Oryctolagus cuniculus: one gene and its partners. The protein of the gene in region 1 interacts with the protein of each later gene in a pairwise test. Links are inferred from orthologs where the notes say so. Each region holds a gene or a part of one and is shown in the gene's direction. Other genes may lie near its edges.

The links.
Region 2: the proteins of ZXDC (region 1) and ATXN1 interact in binary tests that used the Homo sapiens proteins (3 or more experiments, as listed by UniProt). The link is inferred for Oryctolagus cuniculus from reciprocal best matches to the Homo sapiens genes ZXDC and ATXN1.
Region 3: the proteins of ZXDC (region 1) and WDR5 interact in binary tests that used the Homo sapiens proteins (3 or more experiments, as listed by UniProt). The link is inferred for Oryctolagus cuniculus from reciprocal best matches to the Homo sapiens genes ZXDC and WDR5.
Region 4: the proteins of ZXDC (region 1) and POGZ interact in binary tests that used the Homo sapiens proteins (3 or more experiments, as listed by UniProt). The link is inferred for Oryctolagus cuniculus from reciprocal best matches to the Homo sapiens genes ZXDC and POGZ.

Annotation. Positions count from the first base shown.
Region 1 is NC_091441.1:109,539,715-109,543,770, reverse strand, and holds the start of ZXDC (zinc finger protein ZXDC), read left to right. Parts: upstream 1-1,218; 5' UTR 1,219-1,390; coding exon 1,391-2,342; intron 2,343-4,056. UniProt on the Homo sapiens protein: Cooperates with CIITA to promote transcription of MHC class I and MHC class II genes.
Region 2 is NC_091436.1:143,620,341-143,623,902, reverse strand, and holds part of ATXN1 (ataxin-1), read left to right. Parts: coding exon 1-346; intron 347-3,562. UniProt on the Homo sapiens protein: Chromatin-binding factor that repress Notch signaling in the absence of Notch intracellular domain by acting as a CBF1 corepressor. Binds to the HEY promoter and might assist, along with NCOR2, RBPJ-mediated repression. Binds RNA in vitro.
Region 3 is NC_091432.1:235,830,793-235,834,354, forward strand, and holds part of WDR5 (WD repeat-containing protein 5), read left to right. Parts: 5' UTR 1-85; coding exon 86-166; intron 167-1,469; coding exon 1,470-1,578; intron 1,579-1,704; coding exon 1,705-1,778; intron 1,779-2,876; coding exon 2,877-2,966; intron 2,967-3,042; coding exon 3,043-3,132; intron 3,133-3,562.
Region 4 is NC_091438.1:46,684,558-46,688,119, forward strand, and holds part of POGZ (pogo transposable element with ZNF domain), read left to right. Parts: intron 1-80; coding exon 81-1,749; 3' UTR 1,750-1,764; exon of another isoform or gene 1,765-2,371; 3' UTR 2,372-3,562. UniProt on the Homo sapiens protein: Plays a role in mitotic cell cycle progression and is involved in kinetochore assembly and mitotic sister chromatid cohesion.

The DNA of each region.
Region 1 (4,056 bases):
ACTCCCTGGCTACAGCAGAGAGCTGGCCTGGAAGAGGGGTAACCAGGACAGAATCTGGCACCCCAACCAGGACTAGAACCCGGTGTGCTGGCGCTGCAAAGCAGAGGATTAGCCTATTGAGCCATGGCGCTGGCGCATTGACTTTTAAAACACAGAGGGAAAGGTTTGCCATTTGCTGGTTCACTCCCCACCTGGCCACAACGGCCAGAGCTGTGCCAATCTGAAGCCAGGGGCCAGGAGCTTCTTCCAGGTTTCCCACATGGGTGCAGGGGCCCAAGCACTTGGACCATTTTCTACTGCTTTCCCAGGCCATAGCAGAGAGCAGGATTGGAATTGGGGCAGCGGGGACTTGAACCGATGCCCATATGGATGCCAGCACTGCAGGCAGAGTTAGCCTCCTATGCCACAGCGCTGGCCCCAGCACACTGTTTTCAAGGTTGATCCATCTTGGACCATGTGTCAGTACTTTATTCCTTCTTATGGCTGAAGCACATTGTGCTGTAGGGAGAGACCACGTTTTCGTCACTGTTGGTTATTAAAAATAACACTGCTGGAGCTGGTGTTGTAGCACAGCCGGATGTGATGCCAGAATCCCATATGGGCGCAGGTTCAAGTCCCAGCTGCTCCACTTTCGATCCAGCTCCCTGCTAACGTGCCTGGGAAAGCAGCAGCAGAAGGCCCAAGTGCTTGGAGCTCTGGCACCCACGTGGGATACCCGGATGGAATTCCAGGCTCTTGGCTCCGGCCTGGCCCATCCCTGGCCATTGTGGCCATCTGGGGAGTGACCCAACGGATGGAAAAATCTCTTTGTCTCTCCCTCTCTGTTAACTCTGCCTTTCAAACAAATAAACAAATCTTAAAAAAATAATAATGCAGCTATGGACATTTACCCCAAGATTTCATTTCTCTTGGGTATATTTGCAGCGCCTGGCCGTGTGACCCTGGGCACCAAACCCCACCTGTGCCTGGATTCTCACACCTGCGAGCGCAGACTGAATCGGCTAGCGTGTGAGTTAACCAGGGTACATCGCCTGGATGGTGTGTATTGGTGTCCCTCTTGGGTCCCACTACCAGATCCGATTCAAAGCGGGTGAGCCTCGTGTTCCACGCGGGGAACTAGACCTCAGCCCACCGAGCTTGCGCATCTGCCTGCCGCGCCCCGCCCCGCCGAAGCCCCGCCCCACGCCCCGCCCCCGTCACGTGGGCCCCGGCAGCCCTCGCGCGCCACCCCGCGGCTCTCGCGCACGCGCGGCTCCGGCCCGGGGGCGGGTTCCGCGCCGGCCCTTGGCGACCACCAGCTCAGGGGCGGCCGCACGGCGTCGCGCGCACGCTCGGGCGGGGCTGCCAGCTCTTCTCCAGCGGCTGCTGAGACGCCGCTGCCGGGCCGAAGATGGACCTCCCGGTGCTGCTCCCCGCCCCGGCCGCGCGCAGAACCCAACATGGCGGCGGCGATCCCGGCAGGCTCCGCCGAGGCCCGGGGCCTCCGCTCGGCTCGGGCCCCGCGCGCCGCCGCCTGCTGCTGCTGCGGAGCCCTGAAGATGGCGGTCCTGGGCCGCGGCACGGGGAGGCCCCCGGGCCGAGCCCGCCGCCAGCCGAGGACGGCGGCGACTCCTTCGTGGTGCTGCTGGAGGTGGCGCGCGGCACCACCGCCGCCGAGACTCCCGAGCGGCGGGAGGCCGAGCCCGCCCCCAGCTCCGCCGGAGGACCCGAGCAGGGCCTCGGCGGTGCGGCCGCCGCCCCCGGCGCCGCCCTCGCGGGCACCGTCACCATCAACAACCAGGACCTGCTGGTGCGCTTCGACAACGGGGTCTTCACGCTGGCGCCCGCGCCGCCGCCCGCGCCGGGGCCGGAGCCGCCGCCGCCGCCGCACCGTCCGCCCGCGCCGCCCGGCACGGCGACCGCGCACCCCGCCGAGAATCGCCGTGGGACCGCGGGCGCCGGCCCCGGCGCACCGGGCTACCGCTGCCCCGAGCCGCAGTGCGCGCTGGCCTTCGCCAAGAAGCACCAGCTCAAGGTGCACCTGCTGACGCACAGCGGCCTCCAGGGCCGGCGGCCCTTCAAGTGCCCGCTGGACGGCTGCGGCTGGGCCTTCACCACCTCGTACAAGCTCAAGCGGCACCTTCAGTCGCACGATAAGCTGCGGCCCTTCGGCTGCCCGGTGGGCGGCTGCGGCAAGAAGTTCACCACCGTCTACAACCTCAAGGCGCACATGAAGGGCCACGAGCAGGAAAGCCTGTTCAAGTGCGAGGTGTGCTGTGAGCGCTTCCCCACGCACGCCAAGCTCAGCTCCCACCAGCGCAGCCACTTCGAGCCCGAGCGCCCGTACAAGTGTGATTTTCCCGGTAACGGCGCGCCACGGGCTGGCGGGGGCGGGCGGGGGTCCCAGGCGGCCGCCCCAAGGTGCCAGACTCCCCTGCTTGGGGCTGGGGACCGAGGGCCGGGAACAGGTGCCTTCCGGTGTGTTTGTGCGTGCCCTGCCTGGTATGTGCTGGGTGATTGGATGTGAGACCCGGACAGGGTTGCTGTGCGCAATAGTCCCAGCTGGTCTCCCCGGCGGGGGCGGCAACGGATGCTCGCTTGGGCTGCCTCCGGTTAGTGAGAGTGAGAAGATGCAGGGACCACAGCCCAGACCTCAGACCCTCAGGGCCGTGCCCCACCGGCGTGGCGCGGCCCCGGTTTTGTGCCTTTTGTATCTTGATTTCATTTGGGCGTGCCGGTTTAGCAGAGTTTTAAAAAGTGATCCTCTGTCAAGGTTTACAGCGGCCCTGGTGTTCCGGCCTGTGGACTGTCTCCCCTCTGGGGAGAACACACTGGCTCAGAGCCTGCCTCTCTTACGGGAATCTGATGGTGGCTGGGACCTCCCGCCGGGTGTAGGGCAGGGCAGGTCAGGGACCCGGTGCCTCCAGGTGGGCCCCGTGTTTTGTGTTGGCTGACAGGTGAGCTTTGGGAGAGGTGGGAGAGGGACCGGTGTGGCGCCTTGCAGTGGCCCAGATCTGAGCTAGCTGAGGGCTTGAGCCAGGGTATGGCAGGGGAGTGGGGAGGGGCTTCCCGCAGGGGACTGCAGAGGGAGCATCAGAGGGCACGGCTACTGATCTGGGGAGCGGTCTCGGTGAGGAAGGGAGAGTCGGGTCCAGGTGTACCTTACCAGTTGGGAACTGTTGGGAGGGTGGGCTCCTGATTGAGGCCGAAGTGCGGGAACTTAGGGTGTTAACAGAGAACCGCATTTCCCGGTTGTTGTCGCTGGGAACGTCGGGTTCCTTGGTCCACGCGCTGTCTTCACAGTGTGGCGACAGCTCGTTCAGGGCTCTGAGAAGAGCCGCAGCAGAGGCACCTGTTAAACGTTGTGCCGCCTCGGACGCCCACCCTGTCTGATCTCCGGGTGCTGTGTCACGGGAGAAGTGCTGGGTGGCAGTCTGGGCACCGGGGACGAGGAGCTTGCTCGGGCTGGGGGCTCAGCTGGGGGCCGAGGGTTGAGCAGATGGAGAGAGCAGGGAGCCCCGCGGAAGTGGACAAACAGATCCTGAGAAGCCAGAGGCGGAGGAGGGGCTGCGGTTGCAGAGGATGGGGGGGGGGGGGGTCGTGCATGTGTGGGCCTTCGGAGTCTGCCCCCACCAGACAAAGTCATGCTCCTTAGTTAACATCTCTCGGGGTTTCCTTGGGTCCCACACGAGCAGCCTTGTCGCCTGAGGTTGTGGAAGGGACGCAGAAGGGCGTGGAGCTGCAGAACTAGCCGGCGGATGACGGTCACTGGGGGACTGTCTCGTGACCCGGCGTTCCGTCTCCAGGTCGTAGGTGTGCCTGTCGCCTCTTCGCAGCTGCCCTGCTGTGGCTGTCACAGAGGGAAACTTCTGAGACACCCCCCCACCCCCACCCCGGCCTCTTCGCAGCTGCCCTGCTGTGGCTGTCACAGAGGGAAACTTCTGAGACACCCCCCCCACCCCCACCCCGGCCTCTTCGCAGCTGCCCTGCTGTGGCTGTCACAGAGGGAAACTTCTGAGACGCCCCCCCACCCCCACCCCGGCGGGCACGGCGTGGCGGGGTTGTGGCTGGTTTTCA
Region 2 (3,562 bases), on another chromosome or scaffold:
TACTGCCCTCCCCAAGAGCGAGAACTTCAGCCCCGAGGCCCTGGCCACCCCGGCCGCCTACCCGGCCATGGTGCAGGCCCAGATCCACCTGCCTGTGGTGCAGTCGGTGGCGTCCCCCGCGGCGGCTCCGCCCACGCTGCCCCCCTACTTCATGAAAGGTTCCATCATCCAGTTGGCCAACGGGGAGCTGAAGAAGGTGGAGGACTTGAAAACGGAAGACTTCATTCAGAGCGCGGAGATCAGCAACGACCTGAAGATCGACTCGAGCACTGTGGAGAGGATCGAGGACAGCCACAGCCCGGGCGTGGCTGTGATCCAGTTCGCAGTGGGGGAGCACCGAGCGCAGGTAACGTTCACCTGCTGCACAGGTAGGGGGCGCACCCCACCACGCCGCGTCGCCGTCTCTGGGCAACGGGAGTGGCTTCTTTTTTTTAATTATTATTTTTAAAAGGTTTTCTTTTATATTTATTTGAAAGGCACTGTGACAGAGAAAGAGAGCTTCCGTCTGCTGGTTCATTTCCCAGATGGCCACAACAGCCAGGGCTGGGCCAGGAGCTCCATCCAGGTCTCCCACATGGGTGGCAGGGGCCTGGGTACTTGGACCATCTTCTGCTGCTTTCCCAGGCATGTTAGCAGGGAGCTGGATCCAAAGTGGAGCAGCCAGGCCTCCAGTCGGTGTCCTGATATGGGATGCAGGTGGCGGCTTCAACTATTGCACCACAACTCGGGCCCTAAGAGTTGCTTCTGCGAGGCAGAGTTGAGGAGTCTCATTTCTGCCTAGACTGTAGAGCAGGCCTTTCCCAACTGTGTCCTCAAGGAAGTTAAGCCCTGCCTGCCCCTGGTATCTGTTGTTTGCAAGCAATGAAGCGCGCTGCCTCTGAGAGTAGGGATGATCCCATCCTGGGGAGAATTAAGAGATCACAACTCTCGACATCATTTGCGTTCTGTGGTTCTGTTGAGGAGCCCTGGCTGAGCAAGGCTGCGGGGCTGCAGGCTTTTCTAGCAGTCATCCTGCACTTGTCCCTATTAGGAGAAGACGGAGCTGCTTGTCTGGGCGAGGACATCGCAGGCAGAAGCCACCACGTCCATGTTCAAAATAGAGGAATGGCAGGGCCGGTCACAGAGATGACACTTGTTGAAAGGGAGGCTTGTTGTACATCCAGATCGCAGGAGCGGGGAGATGGCCATGCCAGGAAGCAAGGCGAGCAGGAGGCGAACGTCGGCAATTGTGCCATTTCCGGGGGAGGGAGTAGGCGAGCCAGGAGAGCAGGCTTAGGATTGGCTGGCATGAGTAGCTTCAGTGGCTCTGGGACCGCTGGGGGCTGGCCCTGCTGTGAGGGAGCTGTCCCTGTGGTGGTGGGGGCAAGTGGCTTAGTGGCCCTGGGCATGACGGAAGCAACATAGGAGGTGGTGGCATCGGTCGATTTGCTTATGAAAAACACGCTGCCGGGTGAGTTGCTGGCTGTGTCTAGGAATAAACTAGTCCCAGGGGAGGCAGGCCCCCTGGGCTTAGCAAGGTCCCAAGATGTTAAGGCATCAGAAAATACCAGGCTGAAGCCAGGGCTGTGTCCAGCTGACTTCCTCAGCCCCGGTAAAGCCAGTTGCAGCCTTGCTGAGAGATGTTAGAAACTGGACGGGTGATTCACTCTTGATTTCCACGGGCTCCTTCAGCCAACCCTTTTGTCATCTCTCAAGTCACTTGCATAGCCCATTTTTGTGAATCAGCAGTTTCACCGCCCAAGTTTCTGGGAACCAAACAGACTTGGTCCCCAGCTGGGAAGTTCCGTGCCTGTGGAACCTCCGCTCTGGATATGTTGTCCACCCAGGACTATAGGACACTCAGAAATGACAGTGCCTCCTGCTGGCGTGGGTTGAAAACAGTTGGGGAAAAAACTGATATTTGGGACATTCAAAGAAAAAAATAACATAAAAACTGAGTAGAGTTTGAATGGCTTTGAGTATTTTTATTTAGTTAGGTTTAAAGATTTATTTATTTATTTGAAAGAGCAGCACAGATAGAGGAAGAGACACAGAGAAAGATTTTCTATCTCATAATTCACTCCCCAAATGCCCGCAAAAGCAGGGGCTGGGCCAGGCTGAAGCCAGGAGCCAGGAACTCCATCCAGGCCTTCCACGTGGGTGGCCCCAGAATTGCTTTGAATATTTTTTCAAAGATCAAATGAGGGAGGGCATAGACCAGCTTCCCCAAGTGTTTTCCAGAACTGTGAGAAGCACGGGCTGTCCGCTGTTAGGCAGCCTGCCCTGTTGAGGGTCCTTTAGCCCCTTTCCTTTCTTTTCTCCCCCCCCCCCTTTTTTTTTTTTGACAGGCAGAGTGGACAGTGAGAGAGACAGAGAGAAAGGTCTTCCTTTGCTGTTGGTTCACCCTCTAATGGCTGCCGCAGCCGGCGCTGATCTGATTAGCCCCTTTCTTAAGGGTGAGATATCACTGTAGCCTACAGTCTTTGGAAAGGTTCAAGAAAGAATTCTTCAGAATTCTGACGATGATGATGATAATAATAAAAAGAACAGGGCCAGTGTTGTGGTGCAGTGTTAGGCCGCCAGCTGCAGTGCCACCTTCCCATTTCAGAGTGCCAGTTCAAGTCCTGGTTGTACCAGTTCTGATCCAGCTCCCTACTAGTGTGCCTGGGAAAGCAACAAAAGAGGGCCCAAGTGCTTGGACCCCTGCCACGCACGTGAGAGACCCCAGGTGGAGTTCCCAGCTTCAGCCTGGCCCAACCCCATTGCAGACGTTCAGGGAATGAACTAGTGGATGGTCCATGGCTCCCTGTGTCAGTCTGTACCTCTTCCTCTCCTTCTCCTTTTCTCTCTCAGTGTCACTCTGCCTTTTAAAAATAAGAAGAAAACATAGGATTTTAAAAAAGGGCCTAATTATTCAGAACTCCCTACCCACCTGTACTTGCTGTGTACTTCCTACGGGATGTAGGGGTGAGTCCTAGTACAGAGAAAATGGGTAACCTAGAGCGGGGTTCTCTCATGACAGACCCCAGGTGAACCATGGAAAATCACCAAGAGTGAGAAGGAAATGCATTCTTCATGGTGCCTTTAATCCTTGCAGCACGATGGCAAGCAGACAGGTGGGGAAGGGGAATTTGTTGTGCAGTGCAGCTGGTTCCTAGCAGTGCCTCTCCACTTGGGACTTGACGGAGCCTTGAGCTGGGGCTGCCCATCCCAGGCCTTGGCTGCTGAGGTTCTGGAGCCCCACAGCTCTCTTTGGTGCCAGGAGGGGAAGGATCTGAGCAGACTTCAGAAGGCTTGTGGAAAACGGGATGTAAAAGATAAGTGTATTTTGGTGCCCCCAAAATTTGAAATCTGTGCATAGATTCATAGTATGCATTTCCATGAATTTTTTAAAGATTTATTTATTTATCTGAGAGGCAGAGTTATGGGGCGAGATGGGGTGGATACACATGTATATCTCTATATATGTCTATGTGTGTGTGTATATATATATATATATATAGAGAGAGAGAGAGAGAGAGATCTTCCATCGTTGGTTAACTCCCCAGTGGCTGCAATAGCCAGGGCTGGGCCAGGCCAAAGC
Region 3 (3,562 bases), on another chromosome or scaffold:
ACGGTTTGCGCTGCCCAGGCCCACTGTAGACCTCGGTTAGCCGCAGCCTCCTGCCCTGCGGTCCCGCCTGCTGGGCGCCAGCGCCATGGCCACGGAGGAGAAGAAGCCCGAGACCGAGGCCGCCAGAGCCCAGCCCACCCCTTCCTCGTCCGCCACTCAGAGCAAGGTGGGGACCTGACGGCACTGCCCCCCTCCCGGCCTGGGGCGGCAGAGGTTAGGACTGGGCCTGCAGGGCCGGGCTGATGTCGCCGCCCGCCTTCCCCGAGTGACCGCAGTCCTGGTGAACGCCCGCGGCAGCTTCGTACAAAACACGGGCGCTCGGTCCTGCTCCCGTCTGCGGAACTCGGCCCTCGGCCCCAGCAGGCCCTGGGCGGGGATGCGGGCCCTGGTCTGGGCGGTGGGATGCGGGCCCTGGTCTGGGCGGTGGGATGGGGGCCCTGGTCTGGGCGGTGGGATGCGGGCCCTGGTCTGGGCGGTGGGATGGGGGCCCTGGTCTGGGCGGTGGGATGCGGGCCCTGGTCTGGGCGGTGGGATGCGGGCCCTGGTCTGGGCGGTGGGATGGGGGCCCTGGTCTGGGCGGTGGGATGCGGGCCCTGGTCTGGGCGGTGGGATGCGGGCCCTGGTCTGGGCGGTGGGATGCGGGCCCTGGTCTGGGCGGTGGGATGCGGGCCCTGGTCTGGGCGGTGGGATGCGGGCCCTGGTCTGGGCGGTGGGATGTGGGCCCTGGTCTGGGCGGTGGGATGGGGGCCCTGGTCTGGGCGGTGGGATGCGGGGGCCTTTGGTGAAGGTACCAGGCCTGCAGGTGCAGCCCAGGGAAGCTGAACCAGGCTGGAGCTGCTGGGCCTGGGACGTGGCAGGGCCACGTGGGGGGGTTGGGGTGGGTGGGTTGGGGGTGGAGGTGGTCGCATCAGAGGGGCTGGGGGGGTGGGGGAGGTGGGGGTGGTCGCATCAGAGGGGCTGGGGGGGTTGGGGGGGTGGGGGTGGTTGTGTCAGCGGGGCTGGGGGGGCTGGGGGGGTGGGGGTGGTTGTGTCAGCGGGGCTGGGGGTCTGGGGTGGTCACATCAGAGGGGCTGGGGGGGTTGGGGGTGGTCACATCAGAGGGGTTGGGGGGGTTGGGGGTGGTCACATCAGAGGGGTTGGGGGGGTGGGGGTGGTTGCGTTAGCGGGGCTGGGGGGGTGGGGGTGGTTGTGTCAGCGGGGCTGGGGGGGCTGGGGTGGTCACATCAGAGGGGCTGGGGGGGTTGGGGGGGTGGGGGGTGTTGCATCAGTGGGGCTGGGGGGGCTGGGGTGGTCACATCAGAGGGGCCTCTGGGGGGAACCGTGACCTCGGGTTGCAGGGTGGCTCCGGGTAGAGTCTCCAGCAGGCGCCTGGCCTAGGGGGGCTGCGCCGGCCTTCAGCTGGGGTCCACGTGGCTGCTAGCTGGGGGGGGGGGCTTCTGCTAGTGGGACCTCTGCCTTCTCTCCAACAGCCCACGCCTGTGAAGCCCAACTACGCCCTGAAATTCACCCTGGCCGGCCACACGAAAGCCGTGTCCTCCGTGAAATTCAGCCCCAACGGCGAGTGGCTGGCCAGCTCCTGTAGGTGCCGCGGGCGGGGCGGGTGGGGGGGCGATCTCCCCGCGCTGGGGTCCGGGAAGCCCAGGCAGTGGGTGGCCGAGCGACCATGCTCCCTGAGCCCCAGCCCCGCCTCCCTCTTTCTTTCAGCTGCTGATAAACTCATTAAAATCTGGGGCGCATACGACGGGAAGTTTGAGAAGACCATCTCGGGCCACAAGCTGGTGGGTGTCCCCGGGAGCGGGGCTGGAGGAGGCCTGGCGGGGGAAGGGCCCCCCGCGTGTTCCGCCGCGCTCTCCCTGTGCCCACACTGGCCCCCGCCGGCAGGCACAGCGCCCGGGCCTCTCGGGGGTCACAGCGCCCCGGCCTCTCCCGGGGTCACAGTGCCCGGGCCTCTCGCGGGGTCACAGCACCCGGGGCCTCTCGGGGGTCACAGCGCCCCGGCCTCTCGCGGGGTCACAGTGCCCGGGCCTCTCGGGGGTCACAGCGCCCCGGGGCCTCTCGGGGGGGGGGGTCACAGCGCCCCGGCCTCTCGGGGTCACAGCGCCTGGGCCTCTCGGGGGTCACAGCGCCCCGGGGCCTCTCGGGGGGGTGTCACAGCGCCCCGGGGCCTCTCGGGGTCACAGCGCCCGGGGCCTCTCGGGGGTCACAGCGCCCCGGGGCCTCTCGGGGGGGGGGTCACAGCGCCCCGGCCTCTCGGGGTCACAGTGCCTGGGCCTCTCGGGGGTCACAGCGCCGCGGGGCCTCTCGGGGTCACAGCGCCTGGGCCTCTCGGGGGGGGGGTCACAGCGCCCCGGCCTCTCGGGGGGGTGGGTCACAGCGCCCGGGCCTCTCGGGGGTCACAGCGCCCCGTGGCCTCTCGGGGGGGGGGTCACAGCGCCCGGGCCTTTCGCGGGGTCACAGCTCCCGGCCTCTCGGGGTCACAGCGCCCCGGCCTCTCGGGGGGGGGGTCACAGCGCCCGGGCCTCTCGGGGGTCACAGCGCCCCGGGGCCTCTCGGGGTCACAGCGCCTGGGCCTCTCGGGGGTCACAGCGCCCCGGGGCCTCTCGGGGGGGGGGTCACAGCGCCCTGGCCTCTCGGGGGGGTGGGTCACAGCGCCCGGGCCTCTCGGGGGTCACAGCGCCCCGTGGCCTCTCGGGGGGGGGGTCACAGCGCCCCCGGCCTCTCTGGGGTCACAGCGCCCCGGCCTCTCGGGGTCACAGCGCCCCGGCCTCTCGGGGTCACAGCGCCCCGGCCTCTCGGGGTCACAGCGCCCCGGCCTCTCGGGGGTCGGCTCTGGGCCGAGCTCTGTCGCTGCCGGAGCTCACCGTGGTCTCCCCCAGGGAATATCCGACGTGGCCTGGTCCTCAGATTCCAACCTCCTCGTCTCTGCCTCCGACGATAAGACCTTGAAGATCTGGGACGTGAGCTCGGTGAGCCGCGCGCGCCCGCGGGGCCCTGGGGGTGGTCCCGGCCCCGCCCGCCGGAGTCTGAGGGGCTTTGTTGCAGGGCAAGTGCCTGAAGACCTTGAAGGGCCACAGCAACTACGTCTTCTGCTGCAACTTCAACCCGCAGTCCAACCTCATCGTGTCGGGCTCCGTGAGTGCGGGGCGGGGCTGCGCGGGGGCGGGGCGGGGCGGGGCTCCGTGAGTGTGGGGCGGGGCTGCGCGGGGGGCGGGGTGGGGCGGGGCTCCGTGAGTGCGGGGCGGGGCTGCGCGGGGGCGGGGCAGGGCTCCGTGAGTGCGGGGCGGGGCTCCGTGAGTGCGGGGCGGGGCGGGGCTCCGTGAGTGCGGGGCGGGGCTGCGCGGGGGCGGGGCGGGGCTCCGTGAGTGCGGGGCGGGGCGGGCTGCGCGGGGGGGGGGGGCGGGGCGGGGCTCCGTGAGTGCGGGGCGGGGCGGGCTGCGCGGGGGGGGGGGGCGGGGCGGGGCTCCGTGAGTGCGGGGCGGGGCTGCGCGGGGGCGGGGCGGGGCTCCGTGAGTGCGGGGCGGGGCTGCGCGGGGGCGGGGCGGAGCTCCGTGAGTGCGGGGCG
Region 4 (3,562 bases), on another chromosome or scaffold:
TTTACATTATTACCACCGCTACCTGGACCCTTTTTCACGGAGCTTTCTCGTCTGCTTGCTCCCCGCTCCTGCCCCTTTAGGCATGGCCAGACTCGTGACCGAGTGCATGACCGGAACTTGAAGAACATGTACCCTCCTGCTTCCTTCCCCCCTCACAAAGCCGCCACTGTGAAATCTGCGGGGGCCGCCCCAGCTGAGCCTGAAGAGCTCCCGCCTCCCGTGACCCAGGCACTCCCCTCGCCAGCCTCCACTGCAACCCCGCCCCAGACCCCTGCCCACCCACAGCCTTTAGTCCTCCCACCCTTGGCCACAGAGGGGGCCGAATGTCTGAATGTCGATGACCAGGAAGAAGGGAGCCCGAGCACCCAGGACCCTGAGCCCGCATCAGGTGGTGGTGGCAGTGGGGTAAGCAAGAAGGAGCAGCTGTCTGTGAAGAAGCTTCGGGTAGTACTGTTTGCCCTGTGCTGCAACACGGAACAGGCAGCCGAACACTTCCGAAACCCCCAGCGACGTATCCGGCGCTGGCTTCGGCGCTTCCAGGCCTCTCAGGGGGAGAACCTAGAGGGCAAGTACCTGAGCTTTGAGGCCGAGGAGAAACTGGCTGAGTGGGTGCTGACCCAGCGAGAGCAGCAGCTGCCTGTGAATGAGGAGACCTTGTTCCAAAAGGCCACCAAGATAGGACGTTCTCTGGAGGGGGGCTTTAAGATCTCATACGAGTGGGCCGTGCGCTTCATGCTGCGACACCACCTGACTCCGCACGCCCGGCGGGCCGTGGCCCACACCCTCCCTAAGGACGTGGCCGAGAACGCCGGGCTCTTCATAGAGTTCGTACAGCGGCAGATCCACAACCAAGACCTGCCCTTGTCTATGATCGTGGCCATCGATGAGATCTCCCTGTTCCTGGACACGGAGGTGCTGAGCAGCGACGACAGGAAGGAGAACGCCCTGCAGACGGTGGGCACGGGGGAGCCCTGGTGCGACGTCGTGCTGGCCATTCTGGCCGACGGCACCGTCCTCCCCACCCTGGTGTTCTACCGAGGACAGATGGACCAGCCTGCTAACGTGCCAGACTCCATACTGCTGGAGGCAAAGGAGAGTGGCTACAGTGACGACGAGATCATGGAGCTGTGGTCCACCCGCGTGTGGCAGAAGCACACGGCCTGCCAGCGCAGCAAAGGCATGCTCGTGATGGACTGCCATCGCACTCACTTGTCGGAGGAGGTCCTGGCCATGCTTAGTGCCTCCAGCACTCTGCCTGCGGTGGTCCCAGCAGGCTGTAGCTCCAAAATCCAGCCACTAGACGTATGCATCAAGCGAACTGTCAAGAACTTCCTGCACAAAAAGTGGAAGGAACAGGCTAGGGAAATGGCAGACACTGCATGTGATTCTGACGTGCTGCTCCAGCTGGTGCTGGTCTGGCTGGGGGAGGTGCTGAGCGTCATAGGGGACTGCCCCGAGCTGGTGCAGCGGTCCTTCCTGGTGGCCAGCGTGCTGCCAGGCCCCGACGGCAACGTCAGCTCCCCCACGAGAAACGCAGACATGCAGGAGGAGCTCATCGCCTCCCTGGAGGAGCAGCTGAAGCTGAGCGGAGAGCAGTCCGAGGAGCCGTCCGCCTCCACGCCCCGGCCCAGGGCGTCTCCTCAAGAGACAGTTGAGCCCGAGAGCCTGCACCAGCTGTTTGAGGGCGAGAGTGAGACCGAGTCTTTCTATGGCTTTGAAGAAGCTGACCTCGATCTGATGGAGATTTGAGTGCTGGGTCACGAGGCATGTGGAGTAGGGGTGGGAAAGCGAGGGAGGGTGGCGGGACTTGGGAAAGGGGACATACCAGGTGGGGTATTTGGTCTATATTTTTTAATTTTATGCCACCACTCCCCAACATTGACTGACAACTTCCCTGTGAATTTGTGGATTAGGAAAACCAATAGTGATCACGTCTGAGCCGAGGAGCTGGCCCATTGGTCATTCAATTCTGCTAAAAACAGGTTTTTGTGACTTTTTTTTAAATTTAAATCACTGTGTTTGGTATTTTTCTGACAAAATCAAGAAAAAGACAAAAAAATCCTTTGTGGGCGAATGTTAAATTGTTTTGTTTCCCCTCTTACCTCAATTGTATCATAGTACTTCTAGAGTTTTTGTTTGTTTTACTGTGTGGCCGACGTCTTTGGGCATGATGCTATCTAACCATTGTCAGTGTGAGAACATTTCTGATGATGAGAAAGACAAAAATATGTAGCTCAAAAACTGGTTTATTATATATATGGATAAACTTTTTTCATTGTGGTCTTAACACTTTTATATAAAAATGAAAATGGAAAAAAAATCCCACTGAACTCTCGCTCTTCCTTCTCCTTTTCTTGCCTTCCCTCTCCAGAGATGTTGGTTTCTACATCAACCCTAGATATGAAATTGTGGCTTTAAAAAAATGCATGAAACCACCTCTGAGCATCCAGAACGATGAATAATTTGTCTTTCCCTCACCATGCTCCTTCCGACAAAAGCAGTATTCTTTGCACTCGCCCCTTCCCCCATTCTCGCCCCCCTCCATCACTCTGGACAAAGGACCATACATGTATCATTAGTGAGCAGGAGGTGCTGAGGTGATCAGAGCGCATGCTAGGGTGCGAGCCATGCCCAGTTTGAGCCTTCATCCTGCAAGCCCCGGGCAGTACCGGCCTTGGTGAGCTTCAGCCTGGGACGTGGACAGGTCCTACAGCCAGGAGCTAATTGCATAAAAAGCGAAGTGTCGACTCTACACAGGAAAGAAAGCCCACTTGTGGACGTTCTGCGTACCCTGTGGCCTTCCCCTATTTTTCTCTTACCACTTAAAGAACCTGACCTGAGAAACAGCACGGAGTGTGCACGGAGAAAAAGACATGAATATTTTTCACTGCCAGCTTCAAGGGAAGAAAATTTTTTCTACAATTTGCATGAGGGATTTTTTTTTAAAGAATTGTATGTATTCGTGGATACAAACCAAAATGTACTGCACCAGAGAAAAGGAGTGCGCAGCACGCCCCCTGTCCCGCAGCTACGCCGCGCACCTGTCCGTCCTGAGGCGGCAGCAGCATCCCCCTCTTGGGAGCCGAGGAGGCAGGCTGCAGGAGCTTCTAAATGCCTCATCTTTAAATGTACGTAAGTGGAACATTTAATAAAATGAGGGGAAATGGATTTATAAGCTTTGTTTTTCTAGGTAGCCCTGTTCAAGGTAGGCTTTCACAGACTGGGAGATGTCGAGAGGGGACAGGCGCGGTGGCGCAGGCTGACACTCTGCCCACTCCTGCCAGTGTTTTTGTTTTTGACCCCCAGTACACTATAATATAGTGAACTGGAGCATCCCCGCAGCACGGCCAGCGTTTGTCATCTGAAGACGACCAAGGATCCATCTGGGCTTCTCATCCCCAGCTTTTTGCCTGATGCCATTTTACTGACAGACTGTGGACTTCCAAGTCAACCCTTTGCCTCGGAGAAAGTTCAAGAACTACGGTCACATCTATCTACAGCAACTTAATCCTCCTCTGGTAGTCTCTGCAGCAGCCACAGCCTTAGCAGAGCTGGGTTCCTG